Coturnix japonica: one gene and its partners. The protein of the gene in region 1 interacts with the protein of each later gene in a pairwise test. Links are inferred from orthologs where the notes say so. Each region holds a gene or a part of one and is shown in the gene's direction. Other genes may lie near its edges. The genes, in order: SMYD1, ZBTB44, BHLHE40 and FAM204A.

Evidence for each region.
Region 2: the proteins of SMYD1 (region 1) and ZBTB44 interact in binary tests that used the Homo sapiens proteins (3 or more experiments, as listed by UniProt). The link is inferred for Coturnix japonica from reciprocal best matches to the Homo sapiens genes SMYD1 and ZBTB44.
Region 3: the proteins of SMYD1 (region 1) and BHLHE40 interact in binary tests that used the Homo sapiens proteins (3 or more experiments, as listed by UniProt). The link is inferred for Coturnix japonica from reciprocal best matches to the Homo sapiens genes SMYD1 and BHLHE40.
Region 4: the proteins of SMYD1 (region 1) and FAM204A interact in binary tests that used the Homo sapiens proteins (3 or more experiments, as listed by UniProt). The link is inferred for Coturnix japonica from reciprocal best matches to the Homo sapiens genes SMYD1 and FAM204A.

Annotation. Positions count from the first base shown.
Region 1 is NC_029519.1:77,830,702-77,835,800, forward strand, and holds part of SMYD1 (histone-lysine N-methyltransferase SMYD1), read left to right. Parts: intron 1-2,126; exon of another isoform or gene 2,127-2,273; coding exon of another isoform or gene 2,274-2,302; intron 2,303-2,613; coding exon 2,614-2,790; intron 2,791-3,463; coding exon 3,464-3,677; intron 3,678-4,082; coding exon 4,083-4,213; intron 4,214-5,099. UniProt on the Homo sapiens protein: Methylates histone H3 at 'Lys-4' (H3K4me), seems able to perform both mono-, di-, and trimethylation. Acts as a transcriptional repressor. Essential for cardiomyocyte differentiation and cardiac morphogenesis.
Region 2 is NC_029539.1:1,351,740-1,357,458, reverse strand, and holds the start of ZBTB44 (zinc finger and BTB domain-containing protein 44), read left to right. Parts: upstream 1-2,373; 5' UTR 2,374-2,700; intron 2,701-4,936; exon of another isoform or gene 4,937-5,019; intron 5,020-5,719. UniProt on the Homo sapiens protein: May be involved in transcriptional regulation.
Region 3 is NC_029527.1:15,936,626-15,942,373, forward strand, and holds the start of BHLHE40 (class E basic helix-loop-helix protein 40), read left to right. Parts: upstream 1-2,307; 5' UTR 2,308-2,568; coding exon 2,569-2,648; intron 2,649-2,744; coding exon 2,745-2,814; intron 2,815-3,153; coding exon 3,154-3,261; intron 3,262-3,601; coding exon 3,602-3,725; intron 3,726-4,509; coding exon 4,510-5,333; 3' UTR 5,334-5,748. UniProt on the Homo sapiens protein: Transcriptional repressor involved in the regulation of the circadian rhythm by negatively regulating the activity of the clock genes and clock-controlled genes.
Region 4 is NC_029521.1:26,437,527-26,443,276, reverse strand, and holds the start of FAM204A (protein FAM204A), read left to right. Parts: upstream 1-2,052; 5' UTR 2,053-2,096; intron 2,097-2,323; exon of another isoform or gene 2,324-2,453; intron 2,454-2,583; 5' UTR 2,584-2,647; coding exon 2,648-2,902; intron 2,903-3,780; coding exon 3,781-3,871; intron 3,872-4,378; coding exon 4,379-4,415; intron 4,416-4,877; coding exon 4,878-4,980; intron 4,981-5,750.

The DNA of each region.
Region 1 (5,099 bases):
CTCTTTCCCCGTGCTGACTGCTTGCCTTGCACTGGGCTCCCTCCCCTGCACCAGCACTGCTTGCTGTCATTTTCCAAACCTCATTTTTGCACGTGGTGTTGCCTGCTGCAAATCAACCTGCTTTCCATCAGTGGCCCTCTCCATCCTGCCTGAGCCAACACACAGGGTGGGTGGTTTCAGTAGCTCATGTACTAGTGCCAGAGGAATGAAAAAGCATTTTAAATGTACTGGGATAGAAATAAACACGCACACATGTTTATATATATATATATAAGGGGGGGAAGAGGCAAGACAGTCCTGTGACTATGGGAGTGATTATTACTTGTGGCACAGCCTTCTCTTGTGATTGCCAACTCATTTTTTCCTTCCCCGTGCCTGTTTCCTTGCTGTGGGCAATGATCACGTTCCATGGGGTCAATGAGCTTTCTGCAGTGATGAGAACTTCCCCCAAACACAGAGGTGTCTAAGCAGTAGGAGTTTAAACTCCCCCTTGCTGTTGAGCCTGGATGGAGGCAGAGAAGTGTGCAGCTGCTGATGCCAGACTAAACAGAGCAGAACACATCCCTACATCAGGCACTGCCCGTGTTACTTTGCTGTTTAATGGCACCCCCATGGGTGCCATGTTCTGGAACAAGCATTCAATCATCAGTATTCTCAGCTCAGCACCATATTGTCATTTTGAGTATGAAAACCCTCTTGGATTTATGAATAACATCTTACAGTGTTCATAAACACAAATACTGCTTCCTAAACTTGGTATTACAGTCAGTCTGCCCCTTGTCCTACCCCAGACAATGCTCCATGAGCGCTTCTGAGTTCAGCTTTCTTCTGTTTTCAACTACTTGGTGTTGCTTGCCTGTCCCTGGGGCAGCTGAAATTGCGTACAAGCCTGGGTAGTTGTGCTTGGGGTTGGCTGAATGGGTTCCTCAGCCCTTTGTCCCTTTGTCCATCCTAAGCATCTTCCTGGAATCCTTGGGATCAGGAGAGCCCCAAAGCCACCCAGACTGGTATTGCCTGGTGTTAGACAGCCAAGAGACTGGTGAAGGGAGGAGAAGACATACAAGAAAAGACTTTATGATGAGGACACCTACTTTTGAAGGAGGCTGTTTTCTTGGACTTCTTATGTCATTTCCAACACAATACCAGGTGCAGGTCTCTCAAATATAGATGCAGTTCAGGTCCAGAGGCAGAAAGAATTGTCAAGCAAATCTGCTTTTCATAGAAAAATAGCTTGGTTTCAAGCAGCACAAACACAGGATTTCCCAATATAACCACCTCTATCTGTCAGTCATCATTATCAGAGCATTTCTGATGTGTATTTTTATCCCTACAGTATGACTGTGCCTAAATAAAGCTTGAGATAGCAGCTAGGACCACACAGACTCATTAGATGTCTGCTTTCAGCTTAGCATGGGCCAGGCAGAAAACAAAGCCAGACTGAAAATCCTGTTAACAGTAGCGGTGCTGAGGAGGAGCAGACAAGCAGCAGAAAAGAGGGCTGAGAGCTGGGGAATGCTTTATTGCTTTCCTCCTTTAAACAAAATATTTGTCTCTTTGGCATAGCCAAATAGGGAAGCAACAGAATCAGACAAGTGCATGAGGATTAAGCTAGGTGAGATGTTTATCTGTCCTCCCAAAATGTCTGAGGTTCCATCATACTGTGCAGGAGGAGCCCATAGGCAGAAAGCTGAAAGGAGTTGACCCATTACCCTCAGTAAGTTTGCAGATGACACCAAGTTTAGAGGAAGCATCAGTCGGTCTGAAGGTAGGAAAGCCCTGCAGGGGGACCTGGGTAGTCTGGATCACTCGGCTGAGGCCAGTTGTATGAGGTTCAGTAAGACCAAGAGCTGTGTCCTGCCCTTTGGTCACAACAGCCCCATGCAATGCTACAGGCTTGGGGCAGAGTGGCTTGAAGGCTGTGCAAAAGAGAAGAACCTGAGGGTGCTGGTCAACAGCCAGCTGAACATGAGCCAGCAGTGTGTCCAGGTGGCCAAGAAGGTCAATGGCTTGTATCAGAATTAGTGCAGCCAGCCAGGGCAAGGGTGATCGTCCCCCAGTATATGACCCTGGTAAGGCCACATCTCAAGTTTAGTTCAGTTTTGGGCCCCTCACTACCAAAAAGACATTTGCCCATAGAAAGTCAATGAAGCTGTGAGGGATCTGGAGTACAAGTCTAATGGGGAATGGCTGAGAGAACTGGGATGGTTCAGTCTGGAGAAGAGGAGGCTCAGGGGAGACGTTATTGCTCTGCAATTCCCTGAAAGAAGGTTGTGATGAGGTGGGGGTCAGCCTTTTCTCTCAGGTAACAGTGATAAGGTGAGAGGTAATGGCCTCAAGTAGTGCCAGAGGAGGTTCAGGTTGGTTATTAGAAAATATTTATTCTCTGAAAGAGTGGTAATGCATTTGCACAGGCTGCCCAGTGAGATGGTGGAGTCACTGTACTGTCCAAGAACTGTGTAGATGTGGCACTGAGGGACATGGGTTAGTGGACATGGTGGGGATGGGTTGGAGTTGGACATGGTGATCTTAAAAGTCTGTTCCAACCTTAATGATTCTATGACTCTATGATCCTGTCACTGAGGCATAAGCCTGCACGTCTTTCTGTCCTTCCAGCCTGACACATGTAGTCTGCCACACCTGCTTCAAACGGCAGGAGAGGCTCCATCGCTGCGGCCAGTGCAAGTTTGCCTACTACTGCGACCGGACCTGCCAGAGAGATGCCTGGCTGAACCACAAAAATGAGTGCTCTGCCATCAAGAAGCATGGCAAGGCACCCACCGAGAACATCAGGTGAGAGTGGGCCCTGAGGGACTGGCTGTCTGGTGCACCACCAGGCTGGGAAATCATGGGGGAGGACAGGAAATCCCTCTGGGGATGGTGAGAGAGAGCTGGGTGTCCCAAGTTGGATGTGTGGTATTGGAAACTGGTTTGGGAAGGCCACAAAGATCCCTGAGCTCATGGGTTGGGGCTTGGAGGAATGTCCACAGTGTGAGGGGGTTGTGTTCCTGCTTTTATTTGGTCCTAGACACCCAAAACCCTACAGCAGCTGAATGAGGTGAGGAAAAGCCACCTTGTGCAATTTCAGTGGGAAAAACAGGGATGCTCCAGTACGTATTGATTTTGATTCATTTCCTGGCTCCATAGTGAGAAAATGATAGGAATCCCCACAGAAATGGAAGTAGCTGTCTAGGGCTGGGGTTCTGTAAGACTTCTCCAGATAAGAACATATATGCCATGATGGGAAACCCCTGTGGCTTCCTTCCCTTCAAAACTCATGGATGGGGACCAGCCATGAACTTGTCATGTATGGCCAGGCTGCACACAGTGTCCCACCCGTAAATGAATTTTTGTGGCCTCTCAGTCCCCTTCCTTGTGCTGGGTGGAGGAACACCAGAACCTGAGTAGATGAGCACCAGGGTCTGTTGTTGCATGGTGCTAGCACCTTGGGCTTTCTCCTGGCCAGGCTGGCAGCACGGATCCTGTGGCGGATAGAGAGAGAAGGCAGTGGGCTGTCAGAGAACTGCCTGGTCTCTATTGACGACCTGCAAAACCATGTGGAGAGCTTTGATGAGGAGGAGAAGAAGGACCTCCGTGTTGATGTGGAAAACTTCCTGGAGTTCTGGCCAGCCCAGAGCCAACAGTTTGGCATGCAGTACATCTCCCACATATTTGGAGTGGTATGTCAAAGATTTCATAATACCCTTTCCTAAAATATTAACTATACATTTTTGTGGTGCAAAGAGAGAAATTCTGTGAGGCTGAGCAGCTCTGCCTCCAGCCCTGCTGTGAGTCAGTGCGTGTCAGGCTTCATTAACCCCATGGGTCATCAGCTTCCCCCAGGGACACACAGCATCCCAGTGGACAAATCCACTGGGCACAGGGAGAAATCCATACAAGAGACCAGTGCACCTTCACCACATATCATTTCTGGAATTACCTTCTATGATAATCTTGTAGGCACTCCTCCTTCCTTGTTAAAGTTTGGAGGTGGGATACTTGGTGGGAGGTTTGGAGGTTATACTAATAGCTGAATTCAGCCATTTCTCCTTTCATGCTTCTTCCTGCCTGTTTTTTGGGACTAGATCAACTGCAATGCCTTTACCCTCAGTGACCAAAGAGGACTGCAAGCTGTTGGCGTGGGAATCTTCCCCAACCTCTGCCAGGCCAACCATGACTGCTGGCCCAACTGCACTGTCATCTTCAACAATGGCAAGTGAGTGCATTGCTTTCCTCAAGTATAGTGGGCATCTATCCTAACAGCCAACGCACAAAGCAGATTGCTAACCTCAGAGTGTCAGATCCCTGTCCCAGAAAATCGATTCACTTCCTTCTCTAGTCCAGAAACAAAAAGCTAGGATTTTCTTTTTAAAGAAGAGCTGTTTTTTTTTCTCTTATTATTTAAAAAAATGCTGTCTGATAGACCCAACAGAGCTTTTCAGCAGGGCTTGACCTCAAATCCAGTGAACCAGCAAGTAGTTTTCCCTTGTGAGTTTTGAAATCAGACTCAAAATAGACAGATAGAGTGGCAAGTAGCTACCTAGATAGTTTCAATTAAGGCTTCATAAGCAGTTAAGGAATACTCACAGTTAATGAATTATTAAAGATTAAATTGAGTCCACAGTCCAAGAGTTCCTCATTACTGAAGCTTTCAATCAGCCATGTATCACTATCATTGATGTGTTTATGGCCATTCCTGACACAAACCCTCATTTCTTTGGGAACGTGCAGTCTCTATTAATTACTGATAAACTCTTTAGCAATAGGTTCTTAATGAGAAATGTGACTGTAATCTGCAAACTGAGTCACATGTTAGTGCTGGATGCCCTAGCGTGCTGTGCATTCCAATTTCCCACCCAAATCCTGCAAGAAAATGTCTGCAGGATGTGTGAGATAGGAAGAGCTTGAAAGGCACAGTGGGATTGCAGGGATGTCCCAGCAGAGCAGGCAGTTTAGGCAGCTGCTCTCACACAGCCACCGGAGGGATACTCTGCCCTCCACCCCCTCCTAAGCCAGGAGGAGCCTAAACTGCTGCCGATCCATCAAGCAGCACCGTGTGCATGACATCAACTGCAGGAAACTGCTTGCCAAAAACTCCACAG
Region 2 (5,719 bases), on another chromosome or scaffold:
TGGGATGCCAAAGGAGGAATGCTGTAGCGCAGCTGCAGGCGCCCACCCATGGCCAAGGCAAGCTGGTGGCTCCCTGCAGTAATATTGCTCAGTTTGGGCCTTCTGGGGCTTTTTTTTGGGGGGCTGGTGGGTCCTGCTTGGGGACATAGGGTCTGCTGCTGCCTTCCCATAGCAACACGTAGCCTTAATGCTGATTTATCAAAGAGGTTATATATTAGGATATATATGTGTGTATATATATGTTTCCCTTCAGTGAAGGATTGTAGCAATGTACTGAGCCTCTTGTGTATTTATTACAGATTTCTGGTTTGTTTTGTACAGTAGCTGTCTGAAAAGGAGAGAAAACGTAAGACAAAAAACCAGACTGTCTGTGTTTGACCGTGCTGCTCCCATGTCCCTCCACCAAAGCATCACTCCTCGCATGGCCCCGACAGCCCCCGGTGTCACCCTCGGGGTGCACAGATCCCATCAGCTGCAGGATGGATCCAGCCAGAACCGAGCTCGGGGCTTCCATTGCAAGGGGAGAAAAGTACCATTTTCTGAATCTTTGTGTTTGAGGGCAACTCTGGTTGTGACTCTGCCTTTACCTCTTCAATAAAGGGTTTCCTGCCTATCGCCTCTTGGCTTTTATTAATGCTTTTCTCAGGTTGTTTTCTAGTTCCCTTTCCAGCAGCTGAACAAAGGGTGAATTTGTTTTTAAGGTGCTAAAGCGTGGGCAGCAATACAGCACCCTGGGATGCGTCACACCGATGGACACCGCTGCATCCTGCCCAGGGCCCCCAGCACTGTGCTCTGGGACCTCCTGCTGCAAAACAGGCGGAAGCAACGAGCAAAGCTGTGCCAGCAGCACATTTCTTTTTGCAGCGGTAGCAATCAACGTGCTGCTGGTGGCTTCCTGGTGGGACAGTTCCTGTGCGTGCGCTCCGAGCTGGACTTTTGCACGCTCCCAAAGTCAGATGTTCCCAATCCCCCAAGGTTTCAGCAGCAGGAAGAGCAGTGCTGCCCCAAAGGAAGCTGTGCCGGATGGCTGAGCTCTGCAGGAGTTGCTCTTGCAGAGCGCTTTAAGGCTGTTTTCCTTTGCTCCATTTGCAAACATGATACACCCCCAGCTGTGCGCTTTTTGGAGCAGAATTTGGAGGGTGAGCATTCTTCCTTGCCTTGCAAATTACCTCTTATTTGTCAGCTGAAAAAAAAGTGAGAACAATCTTTGCACGCACACTCACACACACTATTTGCTTCACTTGATGCTATTTCACCCCAGTTTTTCACCAAAGCAATCTGCAGAGAGCAATGCATCATGCTCACCATGCAGCTACGTGCAAATGCAAAGCCAAGGGAAGGAAAAGGAGAAACTGAAGCAGCAGTGAGTGCAATCTTGCAGCACACTGGGGTTCCCATCTCCCTCTGGTTTTGCAAGAAAACAGTCATGAAACATCCCCAGGGGGGTTCTTTTACATTGCAGGGAGCTGGGAGCACCGTGCTGCTTTTCAAATCCATTTTATGCTGCAATTTGCAGTGCACTCAGTGGGATGAGGGCTGGGGGGGTGCATCAGCGTGGTGTGCACTGTGCATGGTGTGTGTGCACTGTGCATGGTTTGCATGCACTCATGCAGTGTGCACAACCCTGGGTGTGCATGCACTGGGGTGTGCAGCATGCACAGTGCTGGTTTATCCATGCATGCATGCACAGTGCTGGTTTGTGTATGCAGTGCTGCTTTATCCATGCAAGCATGCACAGTGCTGGCTTATGTATGCACAGTGCTAGTTTATCCATGCACAGTGCTGCCTTGTCCATGCACAGTGCTGGCTTATGTATGCACAGTGCTGCTTTATGCATGCAAAGTGCTGGTTTATGCATGCACAGTGCTGCTTTACCCATGCACAGTGCTGCTTTATCCATGCACAGTGCTGCTTTATCCATGCACAGTGCTGCTTTACCCATGCACAGTGCTGCTTTATCCATGCACAGTGCTGCTTTATCCATGCATGCATGCACAGTACTGGTTTCTCCATGCACAGTGCTGGTTTATGCATGCACAGTGCTGCTTTACCCATGCACAGTGCTGCTCTACCCATGCATGCATGCACTGCTGTGGCCGGTATATGCATTTAGTCCCTTCGCGCACGCACTGAGGCGCTTTGTGTGCACACTCCTAATCAGTGCATGCACCCTGACCTCTATGTGCACCCCATGCCTTCAGGTGCACGGTCCCACCTCAATACCCCACATCCACACCTCCACCCCATACACACACATGCATTATTACACACATTATAACCCCCAATGCACATCCCACCCGCTGCTCCCGCTGTGCCGCTCACTGCGCACGCGCACTCCGCTCTCCCCGCCCCCCTTTACGCCCCGCCCCGTATCGCGCTGCACTGTGGGACACAAACAAAGTGCCCGGCCGGGCGGCGCGGGCAGCTCGTCGCTCGGAGCCGTCCCGCTGAGCCGCCCCTCCCCTCCCTTCTCCTCCTCCCTTCATCCCTTCCCCTCCTTCCCCTTATTGAGCCGCCGACCCCCTCACCCTGGGGGCTGCTCATCGCCCCGCCAGCTCCGCGCCTGAGGGGGAGGCGGCGGCTGCTGCTGTGGTGTTGGTGGTGGTGGCGGTGGCAGCGGCCTCTGCTCCTCCTCCGCCTCCCAACGCCATGGCCCGGCCAGCACCGAGATAGGGGGCTCGGCCCGGCGTTAGAGCGCAGGTAAGGCCCTGAGGGAGAACGGGGGAGTGTGGGGGGGTAAAGCTGCCCTAGGGACCCTCTGTGCCCTGTGGGCCCGACCCCTTGTGCCTCTGTGATGCCCCCTGTTGCGGTGCCGGCAGCCCGCGGCCTGTTGTTGCTCCCCCCCACCCGCCGTTGTCCATCTGCCGGGGGGTGCTGGGCTCAGCTGGGCTCAGCTGTGCCGTGTGTGTGGGTTGTGATGTGGGTTGTGAGCGGATCGACGTAAACATTGGCACATGGGGATGCGCAGGGGGAGAGGGGCTGCTCTGGGGCTCGGCTCTCGTGTATGAGCTGCCTAAGTGGGCATCCTGCTGCCTTCAGCAGCCCCTTGTGCTTCTTAACGGGTATAGGTGTGCTGGGCTGATGCAGCCTATGAAGTATGACCACCCCATGGGGCTTTATCCTGTGCCCTGAAGCCTCTGAGCCACCCTAATAGAGCAGCACGCTCCTTCCTCCAGATCTACGAGGCAGCTCCTCCATCTCCTTGCACTGTGAGGTTACCTGTCTGCTAGGCCTTCTGTGGTTATCCCATTGACTGTCTACCAAGAGCTGGTTATCCCACTGACCAAGAGCCCCACATGCATTTACACACCGTGATGTTTTGCCCTCAGCCCTTTGGATATGAGGCATTTCTCCTGCAGGTTCCCAAGGAGGAGCTTTCTGCTTACTGTCCCACCTGATCCCATAGACACCTCATGGTGCCTGCTCCCACGTGTGGTACTCATTGCTATATGTGCCATAGGGGTCACCCAGCTGTGCCCTGCAATTTGTGGCTGCCTTTAGGTTGCTTTTCTATTTGGAATTACTATGTGTGTTCCCATAGCATCTGCAGGTTTCAAGTTGGACATAGCTGGTCTGAAACGCACTGGATTTCTCTTCTCTAGTCATACATGTAACTCGAAAGTCTCCTGATTTCTGTCCACCTCTTGTTCCCATTCACTCAGGAATCTTTCTCACGTGTTTCCAGTAGTCTCTAGCATTCACTCTTTTCCTCACACGAAGCCCTAGGTTTGCCCTATTATCACGAGGGGAATTTCTCAGCTTTGCTATTTACGTGTTTGCTCGTGTTCTCTCCCTTCTTTTCCCTGGCTTCTCTTTAGGTGGAGGTCACCCAGCCCACCTGCTGAGCTGACCTCTGGTTTCTAGCATCACGCTGTTGTACACGGAGTGACGTGGGACTGCTCTGTGAACCCTGCAAGGTGATACTGGGTGGGAATGGCTGGCACAGGCTGCTGTCCAGGAGTCTCGTGGGGCATTTCACATGTGCCATTGAGCTCTCCTGTTGCATCTCGATATCCACGTGTAATGCAGATCCAAGGCGTGATGTGCCTGGAGAGCTTGCTTGGCTCTGAATGAATCTATGTAAGAAAGAGCAGAAGTGTTAACCTGCTAGCTAACATACAGCTCTACCAATCTAAATACTTCCATTGATGTAAAGCTGTTTATACCAGAAACTAGTTAGAACACTGTAAGCGTGTCTCCCTGGGGACTTCTTCTGTTTAAACAGCTGGTTTTAATCTGCAGCTCTTAATTGGTGTGAACACTCCAAGAGATCCCTTTCCAAGGGAGGGGAATTTCCAGCCCTTGTTTTTGGCTCCCCAGGTGGATGCTGGTTGTGTGGATGCTCACCTGTGAGGTGGAGGGATCGCTTTTGTTTTCCCACACAGAAGGTTTTGCATTGTTGGGGCTTTTTGTTGTTGCTCTTGTTTTTTAACAGGGTGAGAGAATTCCTCTTTTTGTGGGTGTCAAGTTTAGGGGGAGGAGTGTCTTCATGTCTTTCTTCTGTAGCATGTAAGAGAAGTAGTTAGCAAGTGAAATTGAACCCTCTCCATTGCTTTTTGCAACAGGAGGTTCATCATAAACTGGCAACTTTGAAAGGGGTGATTCCTTTCACTGGTGTCTGTAGCATCTGCTCAGCTGTTTGCTAGGAGGGGCGAAAGAAAATACAGCTTCCTCTGTGTGTGAAGCTGAACAAGTGCCCAAATGTTATTTCTGGAGGCTTTTTATGTTCGTGTCCTTCTCCTGAATGGATGTGTGATGCCTGGTGGAAGATGGATGGTGCTCGTGTGAGCTCACATGTCCCTGGCAGAGAAGGAGGCAGAGAGGAGGCCTCAGGTCCTTTGCACTAGTGTTGCTTTCTGCACATCTGATGGAGTCTGTTACGTGTGTAAACTTATTTCTTTATAATCTTTGAGAACATTTGGGTTTATTTCTACAGGAAGATGTGGTGATAAATGTAACAGCTCCTGAAGGCATTGTAGTTCAGTAGCTGAAAGAGGAAAACCGAACCGTGACAGATCGGTGAGTGATGCTGTTGCTGCCGGTGTGTGATGAGGAAGGAGATGGCCCTTGATGTAGAAGGGATTGTCTGTTGACATACTTCTATCTCGCCCGGTTGTAAGTAGGTTATTCCTGTTCAAATTATGCAACTGTGCAGACAGCCAGACTTCAGGAATTCCAAATACTTCAATGTGTCAAGTGCCGACTTCTAAATTAAATGCTACGGTTGCGGAGCTGTTCACAGTCTGTCGCTTGAATTATGACATCAGTCTTGGGATTGTCTCACTGAAAAGGGGCAGCGATTTAATTACTTCCCTTTCAGAAAGTGTTCGATTTCAGGAGTCAAACTAGATGGGAGATGTGCCTTCTGTGGCACTATTGCAGTAGTCAGCGATTGCTATTTTGGCAGTTTGAAGCAGGAAAATAATACTGGAAATGGTGGTTTACATAAGATTTTTAAGGCAGCTCCTTGTTGCTGCGGTGGATGCTGTTATTGCTTTGAAAGATGCAGTTTTTAGCCAATAGATCCAATTAAATAGTTGTGTACTTACTGCTATGTAAACACAGGAGCCCATTACTCTCAGCTTGCTTTGGAGTTCCAATTGATTCTTCTAATGGTTTCACAGGATGAAAACAAATGTCTGTGGAAGGTGCACAAATAAAATGGTGGTGGTAGGGAATGAACTGCAACCTGGTAACATGGCATTTGTGTGGATGGATG
Region 3 (5,748 bases), on another chromosome or scaffold:
GCTCATGATGTACAGGGATCCCCGTGTGCAGGGGATGATGGCACCATGTTTCTGCCCTTCCTTACCTCCTGCATTTTCTTTGTGTCCTCTTTTTTCCAAGGGGCCAAACATCACCACTGAGCTCAGTTCTGCACCCACAGCCCTCTGTCCTCAGCAGGGGGTGGAGGGTCCCTCTGACCTAGCTGTGCCCCGAGTCGAACCATGTGTAATGAGCTCCTGCTCCTTTCTCATGCCTGCTTGGTTTGGGGTTTTATTGGTATGAGAAGGAATTGTTTATATCCAGGTAGGAAAGAAACGCACTGTGTCACTGCAGCCACTGCTCCCTGTGCCCTGCAGGGAGAGCAGACCTCCCTGCTATTGATTCTCACCCGGGCACTCAGATACCAGGGAAAAATAAACAGCTCTGCAGTTGGGTGGTGCGGTGCTTTCTGAGCCAGAGATCTGAAGGCACCTCACTCTGCTTTGCATACCTGCAGAGCGCCGTGCTCCCCGCTCTGCAGATCTGAGAGCTGAAGCACAGACATCTGACGGCCCGGGGCTGACTCACTGCTTGATGTTGGGCAGAGCTGTGTGGGGATCTGATACCTTTGTGCAAAGCCCTCACGGGTACACAGGAGCAGCACTCGGCAGCCCCCAATGCATGGCCATGGGACTGGGGGCAGCCCTTCACACCAGGGCTGGGGGCACTCGAGGTCCCGCTGGCAGCACAGAGCCGGGGGTGTTTTTCCAAGCGATGGTGCAAGCAGGGACCTGGTTAGCAGCGAGCGCATGGGCAGGGCGGCTGTCACGGCACAGTGGGGAGATTTCATTAAACAGAGCCTTAAAGTGGGATAAGGTCTCTTATTACAAATTGTTATGTCCACAAATTTTGCCACTTCCAAATAGTTCCTGCCCACGTGTTCCTCCCACTGCTGTGCTGGGTGCTGGCAAACATCCCCATGCTCGGTCAGAAGAGAGCTCATGGCTGATGGGCTGCAGGCTCTCACCATGCAGTGCCAGCACCCTGCTCATAGCAGACCCTCAGTGCCATTGGCTCTCACTGCTTTTCCCAATGGGTACCCCGACACCATCACAGATTAATGCAATGGTTGGGTTGGATGGAACCATACAGGTCACCCAGCCCCCACCCCTGCCACAGGCTGGCTGCCCCCCAGCTCAAGCTGCCCAGGGCCCACCCATGGTCTTGGGCACCTCCAGGGATGGGGCACCACAGCTCTGGGCAGTGTGTTTTCAAGGCTCAGTCCGAGCTTTGGTCACCACCTGCAGGCTGCTGGGAGGGTGGGGGTGTGTTCAGTAGGAGGGCTCTGGGGATGCCCATCGGGTGCCCGCTGGGTGCCGAGCCGAAGCGCTGCTGCCCTGCATAACCTTCGCCTGCGGCCGTCCTTTAACCTCCGGTGCTGGTAACCCAAAACGAGATTGCTGGAAATGAGAGAGCAGAGGAGTCAGCTATCTGATTCCAGGCCACAGGCACATGCCTGGCCTTCGTGGATATATTAAGTAAGGGACATTTTAAAACAAAACCACCCGCAGTAACCTTATCGTGAGGCTGAAGCCGCAGCCCAGCTGCTAACTCCGAGCTGCCCACACGGGCTCTATCCGATGCTGCTGTTGGGATTTCACAGTGTTTTGCCCCAAATCACCATCTCCGAGCCCTCAGTACAACTTGAGCCCGAACTGCGAGCCCTTGGCTTCTGGGGGGTCTGTAGATAAGTGCAGATCACTGCTGGGCACTGTCTGCTCCTCTCCTGGGACAGCACCTCAGACCCGTGACTGCAGGAAATTTGGCCTCTTTGCTGCATTCTGTACGCCCTGTATGTATGCATTTCTGCGCAGAAATAATTCAGCAAACAAAATCTCGGAGACAAATTGCTGATTGCATCAGCCCCAGCTTATGAAAGCTGATCATAGGGAGGACAATGTAACCCAACTCTCCGCCATCCCACTTGCCGCCCAGGAATGCCATCGCTCCACTCGGATCCTCTTTTTAGGGGGACTCCAAAATCCTTGGCAACATCCCTTAAGGTCATGAGTAAACCCCGAGCCTCGGGACGGCTCGGAGAGAAGGGAGCAGCCAAAGGGCTCCGGCAGCGGGGATTACCGACGCGCCGCGGGAGTGTTGAAGAACGGGAGTCGGGTGCCGAGCTCCTGCCCCGCTCCGCTGCGGGACGGCGGGGCAGAGCCCGAGGGGCGGCCGGGAAGCAACCGGGGTCGGGGCCACCCGGGGCCACGGACCGGCCGCCCCGCCTCCACCCCCCCCCGGCACGTTGCACGGCGGAGCGGGCGGGGGGAGGAAGGCCGCCGCTCGCCGACACGTGAGCCTCATGTGACGGCGATGGAGGGAGGGAGGGAGCGGGGGGGGGAGCCCGGCCAGACGTGCCGGGAGTCACAGGGTAACGCACGTCGCCGCCGTCCACCCACTCGGCCGCATTTAACCCGGCCCTCCGCCTCCCTCCGCTCCTCAGCCGGCGAGGCGGGGACGCGGCATGAGCTGCCCGCGCTGAGCTCCGCACCGCACCGCACCGCTCCGCTCCTCCCGGCTCCCGCGGCACCGCTCCGCTCCGCGCCCCCATGGAGCGCATCCCCAGCGCGCAGCCCCCGCCCGTGTGCCTGGGCAAACTGCCCGCCCTGGAGAGCGCCGATGTGCCGGGGTAAGGCTGCGGGGGGGACAGGACGACACGAGAGCGTCCCCCCGCCGCGGCCCCGGGGACAGGGGTAACCTCGCTGCTTTCGTTTCGCCCGTGCAGGCTGGACTTCGCGCACATGTACCAAGTGTACAAGCCCAGGAGGGGGTTAAAGAGGAGCGAGGACAGCAAGGTAACGGGGTGGGCGGTGCGGGGCGGGGGTCAGCGATCGTTGGGATGGGGGGGAGTGAGAAAGAGAGCTGAGCTTCTGTGGGGTGATGCGGGAAGGGGGGAAGGGGCCTCCACTGGGTAATTCTGGGGGAAATAAAAAAGAAATGCTGCGGGGTGGGGGGCGGAGGGGGTGCGTGAGTATTTGGGTGGGGAGGGGGGGGGAAAGCAAAAGGAAAAGGAAAAAAGAACAGAGGGTGGAATGCGTGGTGGGTTTAGCGATTATTTGGGAAGGGGGAAAAAAAGGAAAGAAGGCAAAAAGACGGAGGGTGGGTGCGGAGCGCTGACCCGCCGCTCCTTACAGGATACCTACAAGCTGCCCCACAGGCTGATAGAGAAGAAGCGCCGCGACAGGATCAACGAGTGCATCGCCCAGCTCAAGGACCTGCTGCCCGAGCACCTCAAGCTGACGGTACGGGCACAACGGGGCTCCGGGCCCGGCCCTGCGTTGAGCGCGCGATGCCGGCGGGGGCAGCAGCGCCGAGGCACGGAGCTGTGCTCGGGGTTGGGCGTCCCCAAATACCCCCGGGATGTGGGGCCGGGGGCTGCCCCGCGGCTGCTCTCTGTGTGTTCCGTCCAAATTCCGGATATTTCTGTTCACAGGAAGCACGACTTGTGCCTTCCCCAATTAGCAGCGCTGCCCCCGAGTCCCTGCCCCAAATCGCCCCCACCTTTGCCGTGGGAATGTCTCCCAGCGCCTATTTCCACCCCCACCCCCGCAGCGTCCAACGCGTTGTGTGCTCTGCCCGCAGACCCTCGGTCACCTGGAGAAGGCGGTGGTGCTGGAGCTGACCCTGAAGCACCTGAAGGCGCTGACGGCGCTGACGGAGCAGCAGCAGCAGAAGATCCTGGCGCTGCAGAGCGGGCTGCAGGCAGGTGCGTGAGTGCAGCGTGCGGGGACACTGCGCGGGGAAGGGATGCCTGAGCCTCTGCCCTTTGATTGCCATCAGTTTCTCTCGCTTTGCTTGTGCAGAGCAAGTGCAGCTCTCCATGGGGTCGGAGCCAGGCGTGCTGTGCGGTCGCTTTCATTTTAAAGTGGATTTGAAGTAGTTTTATTTAAAGCGCAGCTTTGCTGTGATGCCCTCTCCAAAGTCGTTCAGCTCTCTCCATTCATGAGCTTTGGATCCTGGTTCTGCGCTTTCCTTTTCCCCCAGAGCACACAAACACCCGCTGTCCGTGTGCAGATCTGTGTTCCCTCATTCTGCAGGTGGACGGGGCTCAGCACAGTGGCTGCTCGCTCCCTCTGCTTCCTCCTGCTGCTTGCACACGTGGCATTCACATGGCTCTGATAAAGTCAAACTGAGCTTGGCCAACGAGGTGCCACTGCCCTGCAGGGACAGCACCAGGGGAGACCCATTGGCAGTGGGGGCACAGCGTGGCATTGAGGGGTCCTGCTGGGTGTGGGATGCACTGTCTGCTTGTTCCCCAGTGGAAGTGCCAAATGCAGAATTGAAAGATGAAGGGCACGGGTAGAAGTGAATGGAGGGATGTGAAAGTAGCAGGTTGGATTCTGGCGCATAAGTTGTGGGAACTCAGGTTGGCCACTGAGTTTGCTGTGCTGGCTGTGTTGTACCGGACGCGTGCTGTCAGCCTGGAGGTGGTGATGGAAGTATTTGGCGTGCTGTTAATTTTTAATTTCTCCCTGTTAATGTTTCCTCAGGTGACCTGTCCGCGAGGAACCTCGACTCCAGCCAGGAGATGTTCCGCTCTGGCTTCCAGCTGTGCGCCAAGGAGCTGCTGCAGTACGTGGCCAAGCACGACAACAAGGAGCTGAAGGCAGCGCAGCTGGTGGGGCACCTGCACCGCGTGGCGGCCGAGCTGCTGCCGGGCAGCCCCAAGGACCTGAAGGAGAAGACGGTGCCGGGGGGCAAAGCGGGCGAGGGGCGCGGGCAGAACTGTGTGCCCGTCATCCAAAGGACATTCGCTGCCTCCAGCGGGGAGCAGAGCGGCAGCGACACAGACACGGACAGCGGCTATGGGGGGGAGCTGGAGAAAAACGACTCCAAACCGGAGCAGCCCTATTTCCCAAAGGATACCGAACTGAAATACGCCGTCCAGGAGAGGATCAGCTCCATCAAGCAAGAGAGCGAGGACCCTCCGGCCAAGAGGAGCAGGCTGGAGGTGCCTGATGACGACAGCCCCTTTGGCAACGAGGTGATGGGCACTGCGGGCGGCTTCCTGCCCCCCCACGCCCACCAGCCCCCCTTGTGCCTGCCCTTCTACCTGATCCCACCATCCGCCACTGCCTACCTGCCCATGCTGGAGAAGTGCTGGTACCCGGCCTCCGTCCCTGTGCTGTACCCCGGGCTGCCCACGCCCACCGCTGCGCTCACCGGCTTTGTGGGCCCTGACAAGCTGTCCCCCCCACTGCTGCTGCCCCAGAGACTGCCCTCCCCGGGGCCCACCCGCTCCCCCATCGACTCCTCGGCCCTGCTGCAGGCACTGAAGCAGATCCCCCCGTTGAACTTGGAAACCAAAGACTAAATGCGACGTGGGTTTTGGTTTGTTGTCTTTTTTTGTTTTCCAGTTTGAGACCGTTTCACTTGTATGCATTGGCTGGAGGGAGGTGTGGGCCACGGCTCGTGGCGTGCAGGGAGCCACGTCCCTGTCCTCTGTGCCAGGGAACGTGCAGGAGGATGAAGGAGGCACCTGGCTTGGCCGTGCAGAGCTGCTTCCAAAAGGACAAAGCAAAGAGCTCGATGCTTTCCACCCCCCTCTCTTCACCCACAGAACGGGTTGGCTCAGTCAGCTGCCATGTGTCAAAGCTGTGAAAAAATACCCCGAGAGGCAGATGTGGGTCTGTAGGGTCTAGATTGTCCCCAGTGGAAGGTATGGATGGCCCTGCTGCAGGGTACGGATGCCCTCTGTGGTACGTTAGGGGCTCTGAGCTGTAGGGTCT
Region 4 (5,750 bases), on another chromosome or scaffold:
AAAAAGAAATAACTCTGTAATCCTTTTAACAGACTTTAAATGCTCATTTGAATATAATTATTTTAAAGGATTAATAAAAAGTATTTTTAAGTTAGGAATGAATTAAAAGTTTAGGAAAAAACAGAGGTTATTTTATTGTCTTTACATCTCACTTTAAAATCATATTAATTTTCCTTTCCAATACTATTTTATTGTATTAAAATATAATCATGCTGGAAAAAAATTTCATTATGTTAGCAAAAATGAATACAAGGTAGATAGTATACTAACACAATGACTGTAATCTGCTAATACAATAAGGCCTTCCTATTATGATTAAACAAGTATTCAGTTCTTGATCATTTTGACATATTTCCAAAACACTGTCTCAAAAGGATAAAATGCAGCATATTTCCTTGCTTAAGGAAAAGGTCCTGATGTCCTCATTTCTTGCTAAAAACAAGAAACAGCTAATAGAGCATAATTTATGTTGTAGCAGATTCTATTTCCGTATTAGGAAACCATTTGCATATATTTTGTGGAAATAAGCATGTATATGATTACTTGTGATTAGTTAATCATGGCTTCAAGCATGCAGCTGAGAAAATAGTGTAGGCTTCCACTGTCCTGAAGTCCAATGATCTGAGCTCCAGCCAGTTTTATGGAGAGAGTTCCAACCTGAGAACTTGCCCTCGGGGACTACATGGCATCAGCTGCTCTTATATTTGGCAAATTTGATCACTGCTGTTAAAGTTAATAATTACATGAGTGTTTCAAAAAGAACCCAAAGAACAACCAGTCTTGTAGATCACAATCAGTGTTTTTTTACTCAGAAACTAGCAAAACACCACCCCTTCAGTGCTGCAACAGAACGTGTGAAAAATTCTATGTCGAATGTTTACAAATACTACTTTGTGTCTTAAATTTTATAGCTGAGGTGCCCCATTAAGAGCTGGTTTCCAATGTGTTCAGATGTATTATCTTGAGAAAACAGGAATATGAGGTTCTTGATGCATTTCAAACAGTCAAATTACACTTGATTTAATTGCATGTGCACATAATTGCAATAGCTCTTCCTTCAAGTAATTTTTAATAATAGCATCAAAAATACTAAGTCTAGGAGTTAGACTAGTTTGATGTTCCATAGGATTTTCAGAGGCATGACTTGTTTCATTCATAATAGTCATTATCAGCAGGTCCCCAGAGCAGGAATTCAAGTGAAGTTGGATCTGTTAATCAGAAGGAAATAAACCAGATAATGTGAATATTTGTTAAAGGACGAACAGAAAACTGGTTTGAGTTTAACCCTATAGCAAATTTTGGATACAATCAGTATCATACTTAGGGAAGTATGTTGGTGACAAGGCTGGGCTCCCTACTTGTTTTAACTCATTAAAGGACTCTGCACACATTGTTTCAGCCACAGCAGCAACAAAAGTAACGAAACCAAAAATGGGTAAGTTGCAAATTTTTGTTATTAAACAACTGTAGCTTCAGTAGCCACCCACCCTTTGAATGCAAGAGCTTCTGGGATGCTGAAAGTAAAGGGGGAAATCTATCAATGTTGTTTCTCTGTTTCTTTGGATACAAATTGTGACAAGATGAAACTTGTTCTTTGGAAACGTATCCCTTAAAATCAATACACAATAGCGATATATTTATATATCACCACTTATCTGTGTGCCAAATGGAACCAAGTATTAAACGTAAATAAAACAAATCTCTTTAAAAATCGATTTCCCAGATGAGAGGAAAAAAAACTAGTTAGCAAGCTGAGTGTGAAATTTACATGTGGTTCATGGCAAAGTGATTAATGACGGGATTAATTGATTTCAGAACTGAAACTGAGGATGTAATATCACGGTATAGAAAGGAAACACACTGAAAGATCTGTTATACAGCTATGGGGAAGGCATTTGTCTTCCTTTATCCCTATTTACACTGGAACTCCTCATATATCTGGGGACATAAGACCAATGTGAAGCTGCACGCCCGGCCCTGTTATCATACGGCTCATGGAGGCCGGGCTCAAGGCAGCAAAGCGCCCGCTAATTGGCTGAGGGGCAGCGTCCAATCAGAGGGCGGGGGTGTAACAGGGGTGCCAAGATGGCGGCCAGGTAAACACGCAGTGCTGTCTCAGCTGGTGATGTGGGTGCTGGGGTTGTTCGGGTCCTGGTTGTGCTGTTGGGTGTTTGTTTTTTTTCTCCTGTTCTTCTGTTTCTCTGCCCTGGAGCAGCACTTCTCCCTTCCTGGCTTGTTTATGGAGCGGTTTCTTCTCCCCGTCTTCCCGACAGCTCTGTCGGTGTGAGGGCTGTGTGTTCTCTGCTGCCCTGGGGAGGCGATGTTGATGTGTCATTCTTAACTGTAAATAAACCCGAAGTGAGAAAACTTTAAAGAATAAGGAAGAGGAAACAAAGCTTGTACTGCCTCTAATCGGTGTGCTTAAATCCTTTCTTAACTTCTCTTCTGAAGTTGTAAGTACTGACAGCTTTATAAAGATAGCGTGTAAAGCACCTCAGGAGTAAAGTAGCTCAGTATTTCTGTTATTATATTCTGGTGTTTCTGACTCTCTGTTGACTGACTGTGGTTTTTGTCTCACAACAGGTGTGCTCACGTGACTCCTGTGTTTATGCAGTAACTCCCAGTGCCTTGGCCTTGCACGAGGAAGATGTGGAGTGGGCTCTTACCTCCAGGACTGAGTGAAAGTGATGTTGACTTGAGCTCTGAGAATGAAGAGGAGTCATGTATCTCCTGTTTGAAGGATGAAGATATAAAGGAAGATACAGAAAGAGTTCAGCTGCCTGAATTGCAGGAGAATGGACCTGAAAGTAATACCAGCACTAAATCAGTTTTGATACCTGTGACAGATGGAGAAAACACATCTCAAACATGTCCTGATGGAGTACCTTTAAATATGTGGAATGTGGGTATTGTAACTTCAAATATCCAGAGGTTACTCGAATAGCTGCTTTTTAAATCTCAGCAACTCAAATTTGGATATTTTAGGTATACCAATACAAAATGAAATGCAGTAAAAGTGCTGTCACAATACTATACCTTAGATTGCTTCAGGTAGAGAGAACGTGAATTTAAACAGGAGGAAAAACAGGAAAACCTTGCATTATTTTCTTGTGCAGCACTGACTGAAAGCACAGCAAAGAAATGTTTGGGTAACTACTCAGTTGCATAATACTTGTGTTTCTGGTAGTATATGGGTGCTGATCTTCCTCAGTATTGATTTTTGTGTGTGAAAGGGTTTATAACTAAGCATGTTAGTGACTATACTAGTGATTTTTATCTGTGAAGTAGAGCTAAACCGTTCTGCTTTGCATAGGGGTTAGGTGCAGGTATCCAGACTCATAACTGCTTATAACCTCTCTTTATTTTTCTTGTGGCATTTAAAAACTCTCCTGATGTGCAAGGAATATACTGTCAGTAGTCTTAGATTCTAAACCACTGTCTGTGCAATAACAAACTGTTCTATAGCCTGGGAGTACACAACCAACAAAAGCATATTCAGCATCGTGCTCCTTGAGAAAACTATTTTGAATGTTCCTGGGACTTAGAGGGGATGGGGGGCAGAAAGTCAGTGGTACTGGTGGGAAAGTGTTAGAGCCAGTGGCAGTTTAACACCATCAGGGCTGGATGCTCTCAGTGCATAAGTCTGAATGTAATAGATACAGGAAGGTACTATGGGTAAGTGAGATATTGGGACAACATTTCTTAGTGTTCTGTGTAACTTTAAAAACAAACAAACAAACATTAAAAAATACTGATCCTTGCTTTTTCTTAATCTTGTAGAAGTTTTTGGAGCTTCAGAAGAAAAACCATGATATGAAAATGGAAGCAAAGCAGGGAAGCCAAGGCCGAAAAAGAAAGCGCCGCAGAAAAGGTGTTTTCCATAATTCCAGACCTTATTTTTTCCAAATGGAATAAGTGTTAAGTGCATTGGAAGTACATTTTTAGCTTTCATCAATAATTGAATGCCTGAATAGGTGTTGTCTGATATGTAGGATTTTCTTTTTCTAGTTGTTACACACCTGTTCTAGGCCTAGACTGTAAATTGCTACTTAAAGTTCAAGTAAAGCATTCCTCTTCTTTTTAAAGAGGGGGTAGAATTTATTCAGTCAGTACTGACTTAAACTAGCTGAGCATGTTTTCAGTCCATTATTTTATATGTTATTTTGTTCGTTCTGATCAAGGCTTCTTGACAGATATTGTAAGACGTTCTTCAAATGACAGGCCTGACAGCAGAGTAGTTTAATTCCCCCATAATCATTCTTTATAGATCCTCTTGTGACAGTCTTTCAATGGGGGCATCCTCTATTATGATCTGCTAACCTTATTGGATGCAATAGGGCATCACTGTAATATTGGGTTTTCTTTTTTTCATTTCTAGAAAAACGGGAAAAGGACAAAAATGAAGTGACTAAGAGGTATGAACCAGGTCAATGTGATTATATGAGGTCTGTTTTTAATATCAGGCAAAACTTGTAAGAAGTGTAGCCAGACACTCTTTGAACATTGTTATATTGTGTATGTACTCAAGTTGTTTGGTTGTATGTACTCAAGTCAAGTTGTACTACAGACTGAGTTGAATTCTAGTGATTTTTTGCTTGCTTACTGCTTGATTTAAAATAACAGAATAGTATTTTTTTAATGCAATTTAAAATTAATTTATTGTTCTTAGTGGTGTTTGTCATATAATTGCATACAAGCTTGCTTTCAAGATTGCAGCGTTGTGGCTACAGAAGAAAAGGAATAGCTTGCATTAAAAGATGTCAGGTGAAAAGAACGCATCTGCCAAATGGGAGAGTTTGTTTTAGTTTTGAAAAGAACGTTACAAGCTGTGGGAAACAAATTGGTTATATTAATGAGTTTTATTTTTTGGTTTTTAGTAGTCAGCAGTTGGCCAATGAAGAGCACTGGAAAGAACTTACACAGTACTTTGGAATCAATGATAGATTTGAATCACCTGTGGATAGCAGAACTCCACAAAAGGTGATTGTTGTTACAAAAGCTGTGTCATCATTTTTTTTGCTAGTAAAAGAAGGCTGTGCTAACTGAAATAACAGTAAAACTGAGTCTATTCAGAAGTAAGCATATGACCAAGTCAATAAAGAAGAATAATTTTGTGTGTATTTTTAAATGAATTCCCCTCTGGTGTCATGTAGGTTTTACTTGGGTTGAAAGGTTTCTAGACAATACTGGTGCCCTATTTCCTTCCTTGGTTTTATATTCTATTGTGATAAGAGAAAAAAGATTTGATATGCCTTGTTTGATTACAGTGACCTTTTACTGTGTTTTAACTTCAGAGTGTTCCAAGTCGGTCCATTGGTTGAGACCAGTAGCTCTTTTAATCAGGGGGTTGAATCTATCATAAAGTTTTACTGACTTTCCAACACACTTAGTTCACAACTGTTGCTGTGTAACTAGCCATATTTGGTATAACTGATTGAACATGACAGATGTGTGAGGAACTTGAAATGTGATGAGTTTGTTCTGTAGTTTAGCAGTAGTGGTCCCCTGTTACTTTTAAGACATCGAGTATTCAGGTGGCATCCTTTATCATGAACTTTCTGTTTTTCATTTGCTCAAAGTAAACTTCTGCATTGACACTGATATTGATCAGTTCTGCCTGAGTTCTGACTTCTGGTGGGCATTTACTTGTCATTAAATTGCTCAGTATAGATCTGGAATGAGGCCCGGAGTGTTAACATGCAGCTGTTCTCCATTTAAGTTGTGATTTAATTGCTAGAGGAACACGTCTC